Macaca fascicularis: one gene and its partner. The protein of the gene in region 1 purifies or fractionates together with the protein of each later gene. This does not show direct contact. Links are inferred from orthologs where the notes say so. Each region holds a gene or a part of one and is shown in the gene's direction. Other genes may lie near its edges.

Region 1 (3,747 bases):
AAGGGGTTGAGTTTCCCAGAAAGTTCCCCATCGAAGCTTTAAAAATGTATTCCCTGCAGCCTTATGCTCTTGCAGTTCCAATACAGCATTGGTGTTTAAAGCCAAACTACTTTATAATTGATTTGCCATCATCCAGCTTTATATTTAACACTAATTTAATCTGGTAACAAAGGAAAGGCTCGTTAAAGGACGGCATTCATAAAATGCTTCCAAGCACCTCTGCTTAACTCGAAGGGAAAATAAAAGGGACTGTTTATTTGGTAGGCAGAGGAGAACACCGCCACGAAACGGTTCTCCACTGAGCAACTCCTGCCTTTGTCAATTATACACATTATTTAGTAACTTTTTTGGAGACATGGACCTTCTCAAACTCCCCAGTATGCTTTGAAACTTTGATAAAGAAATGTACAAACAAAACTCTAAGTGTTCTGGAATTAATTTCAGACGCTTCATAGATCCTCGTAAGTACTCACCGTAAGAAAAATTCCCCATTTCTGGTACTCCAATCTCACGCCCTTAGAATTCTCCTAAGACTTATTCCCTTGAACAACTTTCCCTAATACCAAATCAAACCTAGATCCAGCTGGGACGCCAAGCTTGCGCTGTGGTAACGCTCAGAAGGCCTCCTTCATCAGTAAAACAGATGCCTTAATGGAAGTGACGGGCAATCAACGCATGGAAAGGGGCTTGGCTTCCCTCTTTTTTGGGTTTCTCTAGGTTGTCTAGATTGGAAAAAAATACACGCTTCGTCCTGCGGAGTTCGGTACAAACGCAATTGCACATATGCAAAGGCAAACCAGGAGCGCAAGTGCGCGTCCGGGGACCGCGACCGGGAGGGGCGGGGCCGAGCGGGGCGAGAGACGGACCGCTCCTCCCATTCGTCGCCGCCTTAACTCTTTGCTATCCTTCCGCAGAGCTTCCTCTTCTTTCCCTCTGACCTCGGAAAGAAGGGGGCGGGGCCTTCGGGGGCGGAAGTTGCAGTGCATTGTGGGTTCTCCTGGAGCGGTGGAGTTGATCCTGAATGAAAGTGGCGCGCTGCCCCTGACGTTACCCGGATTTGAGCGGCTGGAATTCGGATTACTGCTGCGATTCGGGTGTCTCGGACCCCGGTGCGCACCGGACCACGGGGAGGCGGCTGCAAAGGCGCGGCGAACGTTGGTGAGGGAGGGCAGCTCTGCGCAGCCCCCAAGACATGGCTCACAACAAGATCCCGCCGCGGTGGCTGAACTGTCCCCGGCGCGGCCAGCCGGTGGCAGGTAACCTGGACTGGGGGGTATTCGAATCCCCACACTCCAGCGTGCCCGGGGGTGGGCCGACTGAGGAGCTCAGCTTTTGGTGGTTCTGTGCCCGTTAGTGGTATTTCAGGAGTGGGATATGCTCCATCTGATTACGCTTCGTGGACGAATGTTTGGGAACATGAACGGGAGGGGATGGTCGGCGGATGGGGGGCACTTGTCACTATTCCTGCCAGGCTAACTGTGCGAATGTGAAGGTAGACAGTAGGTTGGTGGCAGGAGGTGAGGATCCAGGAATACAGTGGGCGTACTTTGAGTCTTAGTAGTTTGTGAACCTTTTAGGGTTCAACCTTCCCCTCGAATTAGAAGGGATGAGTGTCAGTCTTGAGATGGAGGAGGATAAGGAGGGAAGGGGCGGTTCCCAGCGGTGAAATGGGGTCACATTGAGACTGGGAATCTGGAGGGTGTTTTTGTTAGTTTTTTGTTTTTATTTTTTTTTGTGAAACAGGGTCTCTCGCTGAGGCTGGCGATCCTCCCACCTCAGCCTCCCAAGTAGCCGGGACTACAGGCTCCTGCCATCGCACCCGGCTACTTTTTTTGTTTATTTAATATATATATACACATTTATAATATATATATTTGAGACATAGTCTCTCTCTGCCGCCCGGGCTGGAATGCAGTGGCGTGATATCGGCTCCCTGCCTTAGCCTTCCAAGTAGGTGGGATTACAGGTGCGTGCCACAACACCTGGCTAATTTTTGTGTTTTTAGTAGAGACGGGGTTTCACCATGTTGGCCAGGCCGGTCTCCAACTCCTGTCCTCAAGTGATCCGCCCGCCTCGGCTTCCCAAAGTGCTGGGATTACAGCCGTGAGCCAGCACGCCCAGCCATAATTTTTTTGTTTATTTCTTGTGGAGACAGTTTCACTATGTTGCCGAGGCTGCTCTTGAACTCGTGGACTCAAGCGATGCTCCCACTTCGGCCTCCCAAAGTGTTGGGATTATAGGCGAGAGCCACCCTGCTTGGTCTGGTTTTTGTTTCTTTAAATCATTTTTCTTGTAGTTTTTTTCATCTTTATTGAGCTTGAATACAATAGGCTTTAAAGTGTACAGTTTGATAAATTTTGACTATATATACACAAATACATCTCTTTCCTAGGAAACAACCATGAAACCATCACCCCTCAAAGTTTCCTCCTGTCCCTTTTTAAATCTCTTCTTTGCCTGGCAACTGCTGATCTGCTTTCTGTAATTATAGTTTGCATTTTCTAGAAATTTTTAAATAATTGGAAACATATAGTGAGTACTCTGCTTGGGGTGGAAGGAAGTGTGTGTGGCTTTTTTCACTAAGCATAATTATTTTGATACTCATCCAGATTATGCATGTATCAATAGTTTATTCCTTTTTTATTGCAGTGTAGTAGTCCATTGTTCTGGGTATACCACAATTTGTTTACCTCTTCATCTATTGATGGTCATTTGGGTTGTTTCCAGTTTTTAGCTATTACAAATAAACCTGCTGTGAACATTTATGTACAATTCTTTGTATGGACATATACTTTCATTCCTTTTGTGTAAATCTCTAGGAGAGGAATGGCTGCATCATATAATAGGTGTATGTTTTAAGAATTTTAAGAAACTGCCAACCTCTTTTCCAAAGCGGTAACACTTGATAGCCCCACCATCAATGTATTATACAGAATAAATTCAAAGGACTTAAAAACTCGCAAAAAATTTGGACACTTCACAAAATAAGATATATGAATAGCCAAAAAGCTATGATGGCGTGGTGGTGTGTGCCTGTAATCCCAGCTACTCGGGAGACTGAGGCAGGGGAATCACTTGAACCCGGGAGGCGGTGGTTGCAGTGAGCCGAGACTGCACCACTGCACTCCAGCCTGGGTGACAGAGTGAAACTCCATCTCAAAAAAAAGTAATTTGTACTTAATCGTGTAATTTATTAGTAAGGGTTCTCTACAGGGACAGAACTAATAGGATATATATATACACACACACACACGTAAAGGGGAGTTTATTAACTATTAACTCACACAATCACAAGGTCCCACAATAGGTTGTCAGCAAACTGAGGAGCAAGGAGAGCCAGTCTGAGTCCCAAAACTGAAGAACTTGGAATCCAGTGTTTGAGGGCAGGAAGCATCCTGTACAGGACAAAGATGTAGGCTGGGAGGCTAGGCCAGTCAAGTCTTTTCACATTTTTTTTCTGCCTGCTTTATATTCTAGCTGTGCTGACAGCTGATTAGATAGTGCCCACCCAGATTAAGGGTGGGTTTGCCTTTCCCAGCCCACTGACTCAAATGTTAATCTCCTTTGGCAACGCCCCCTACACCCAGAATCAATACTTTGCATCCTTCAATTCAATCAAGTTGACACTCAGTATTAACCATCACAGTAATTTCTTTGATATTTTGCATATTGAGGAAAATGTTATGGCAGTTCAAACTTATATGTTGCAAATATTAGGATTCACTTTACTAGTACTAGAAGTTCATA
Region 2 (3,747 bases), on another chromosome or scaffold:
CACCTGTGGTCCCAGCTACTTGGGAAGCTGAGGTGGGAGAATCGCTTGAGCCCACGAGGTTGAAGCGGCAATGAGCCGAGACTGAGCCACTGCACTCCAGGGTGGGTGACAAGAGAGAGATCCTGTCTCAAAAGCAATTTTTTTTCCAATAAAATCTAAACACAGATATTTCTGATGAAAATTCAGTATCCCAACAGAGACTTGCTGGAAGGACAAAATATATCACATTTTAAAGACATCGTAAGGTTAAAAAGGAACGTATATCTTTAATAATTTGATTACTGAAATAACATTTTGAAAATACCGCACTGAAACGTTAACACTAATTTCATCAGTTTCTTCGTGCTTTTTGTGGCTACCGCAAAGTTTAAAGTTATGTGTGTGGCTCGCATTATATTCCTAGCGGACAAGCCCGACCTACCAGGCCTAGCAAATGGTAAAAGCCACCAAAATAGTGGCACATGAGCTGCATGATAGGAAACAGAATGTTATTCCTCTGTGAAGATTAGCAATACTTGACATCAAGTAGCTCTTCAAAGCACAGGACTACCTAATGCTGAGAATTACTCCTCCCGATTTTGCAGTGTCGCATTTGTTTTTGTGAGCGCCTTAAGTTCCTTTCCGACAAGGCTCGCAGACAGTTCTGATGGGGATGAAGGAATGGAGCACTTGGGGCTTGCCTAGGCTGTAAGGTGAAGTTTTAGAATTGTCACTTCGGACTCGGTCCCACGCCCAGAAAACGCAAACAGTCCCAAGTTTCCACACTGGCCACGCCAGTCCGCGACCCATGGCGGCTCCCAAGGCTGCGCCAACCTAGCCGCCCACACCCGCGACCTTCCCCGGAAGCGTTTCCATTTCATTCCTTCAAGTCCGCAAGGGGCCGGGTGGGTCCCGAGCGCCCGACTCAGCCGCAAAGGCGGCCCCGGGAAAACGCTCTCGGAAGCGGGTAGGGGCCCGGGCCCACGCCGCCCGGCGTCCGCAGGCCAGGGACAGGGGAAGGAACAAGAGAAGGCGGCGGCAGGCGGACCCGAGGCCGAGACGCCGGGGCCAGCTCGCAGAGGCCGCAGACGGATCCACGCCCCTCGCGCATCCTGGAGCGGGGCTGATGACGAACACAGAGCGCGACGGACGCACACACCGCCCCGCGCTCGCACGACGGTGCGTGCAGGGAGGCGCGAGGGAGCCTCGGGCTGTCACCGGCGCAGTCAGCGTCCCGCCTCCTCCGCTCCCTGCGCTCCCGCCACCTCGGCAACTCCGCGCCCGCCTCCCGCCTCCGTCGGAAGCCTCCGCCGCAGTAAGGCTCCCGGTCTCGCTGCTGTCTCTTTAAATGGTGGGGCTCCGAGCCGCCCCTGCAGCTGCTCCCTGGGTGGCCCCGCGCGCCGCTTTTGAGGGGCGAACCAAGATGGCGGCGGTTTTGGCTGTGTGAGGAAGACGGAAGAGGCGGCGGCGGAGGGAAACCGACTTCCACTAGCCCGGGGCGGTTGGGCGGCCGGGGGCTTCAGAGTCTCCCAGGCAGTGGTAGCATTTGCAGAAGGATCAGGCGCCTGTCGGCTTCTGACGTTTGAAGCAGGGAGCGGAAGGGAGCCACTGGCCGCGGTGGCAGGGCCAGGTATAAGGAAGGAAAATATGGCGGCGGCGGCAGCGGCCTGAGGAGGCGGCGGCGGCGGCGCGGGAAGCTGCTTCGCGGAGATCATGGCGGAGGCGGGAGCAGGGCAGTGACGGGAGCCCCGAGTTCCTAGCGCTGCGGGGCGGGAGGCTACGAAGCGCTGCGCGGCCCCCTCGGGGCTGCCGGGCGCCGGGCTCGCCGGGCCTGGACAATAGCGCCGGGGAGCCGGAGGCGAGGAAAGGCGGCGGCCCAGAACTCGGTCCCGGGAGCGGGCCATGCAGGCGGCGGCGCGGCCCCGCGGCGCCCAGCGGCGGCAGTGAGGCCGGGGAGCCCTTCGCTCGCGGGCGCCCTCACGCCTCGCCCCTCGCCTCTCCAGGACCCCTTTCCTGGGCGTCTACTGGCGGGGCCCCCGCCCCGGTTCCCGGGCGGCACGATGACCGACACCCGGCGGCGGGTGAAGGTGTACACGCTCAACGAGGACCGGCAGTGGGACGACCGGGGCACCGGGCATGTGTCGTCTGGCTACGTGGAGCGGCTGAAGGGCATGTCCCTGCTTGTCAGGGCTGAGAGCGACGGTAAGTGAAGCCCCTCGTGGCGGGCCCTTCGCAGCCCCCACGGCCCTGGGCCGCCTCCCTGGTTCTTGCGGGGCATGGCGCTCGCTCCACGAGAACGGAGGGACGGCTGGCCACGGCAGCCACCCCGGGGGAGGGCGGGCCCCAGGTACCCCAGTCCTGCGGGAGCTCCCCGGAGAGCGCCTGAAATGTTTCCTTTCTCTGAGTGCCTGGTGGCATTTTGGGTACGAAGAGAGCCAAGCGTGTTGAGCTGTGCCGCCCTGGAGTGTGTGAGGTCGAGGACCTGAGATGGGGAGTCCGGAGTGTACTGTTCTTTTGCACTAGAGTGACCTTGAGAAAGACACTGATTAATCCGATCTTCTGCCTTAGTTCACCCATCTGTAAAGCAGGCATGAAACTTTGCTTGGAGCTAAGAAAGTTCTTGGACCTTTCATACTTTGAAGAACATTTTGCTGTGATTTCTTTCTTTTTCTTTTTAAACGTCTTTTTGCTACATGTTTCTGATCCCGTTGGAGGTTGGCAACACTGGATCTGGCAACTCTACGCTAAGAGAAGACGCTTTACCTTGAGAAGATAGAGATTTTTGTTCACCAGTGTTGGTTGTCTTTTTTATAGTAATGCAGAATTTTGTGTGTAGCTCGCTATATAAACATCTTGCAAGTTTGGAATAATTTTATATGAGCTTTTTTTTTTTGATTGCTTAAATGGGTGTTCATAATTTCGTTAACAGGTGCAGAGAAGTTGGCAGATAATTTTTAAAACCTTTCGGATCTTCCCTAGTGTTTATGCTTCACCCATTTTGAAACAACCCTCAAGGTTCAAAGACTAAGTTGTTTGAAAATAAGTGTTTCCCTTTTTTTCTTTTTTCCACATCTTCTGAGTGTTTCATATTTTAGAAGACTTATTCTCTCTAGGGATTGCCACTGTTTTTGGAGATATACAGTGAATTTCACTTAAAATATTCAAGTGGGGTAAAACTGTTGTCAAATTGTTACTTCCAAACGTGAAAGTAAGTTCTCTTCCACCTCTTTTGGTACATTGGTTTATATTTTACAGTTGCTAACGAGGTCAGTTTATTATGATTGTAGTGATTCTGTGTCTGAATTATTACAGACTAATTTCAAGGAATTTTCTTCAGTTGGACTCTACCCAGAATTCCAATTCCATAAAAAACCAACAAGACTAGCCCTTCTGTAGTTGAAGACTTTGGGAACATTGATGTTCTATTTAAATTGAAAGTGGTAATCTGGAGTATATTGCCCACAGGTTATAAGGTTACCCAAAATGACTTAAATCTGGAGAGAAATTATTTCCTTTTGGGGGCATTTAAAATTTTTTGAATGTTGGGTGTATTTTTCTGGGCCTGAGTTATTATTGGCTACTTAAAATACAATTTGAATGTCAAGTGTTAGTGTAATTTTGTATGTGACTCACGTAATAACCTACTCTAGATCTTTCACACATTTGGCAAACTTTACATAGTATGTTAGAAGGTATGGGCTTTTAGTAGATTTATCTGTAGGTTTCTTCTTAATTTTTTACTTTCAAAAAAATAAAAATAAAGACAGG

Evidence for each region. The genes of interacting proteins can lie anywhere in the genome.
Region 2: the proteins of RNGTT (region 1) and PPP4R3A purify together in Homo sapiens (affinity purification with mass spectrometry; 3 studies listed by BioGRID and IntAct, with this or other methods). This does not show direct contact. The link is inferred for Macaca fascicularis from reciprocal best matches to the Homo sapiens genes RNGTT and PPP4R3A.

What each region holds. Positions count from the first base shown.
Region 1 is NC_088378.1:86,408,951-86,412,697, forward strand, and holds the start of RNGTT (mRNA-capping enzyme), read left to right. Parts: upstream 1-982; 5' UTR 983-1,192; coding exon 1,193-1,256; intron 1,257-3,747.
Region 2 is NC_088381.1:159,504,282-159,508,028, reverse strand, and holds the start of PPP4R3A (serine/threonine-protein phosphatase 4 regulatory subunit 3A), read left to right. Parts: upstream 1-1,387; 5' UTR 1,388-2,039; coding exon 2,040-2,181; intron 2,182-3,747. UniProt on the Homo sapiens protein: Regulatory subunit of serine/threonine-protein phosphatase 4. May regulate the activity of PPP4C at centrosomal microtubule organizing centers.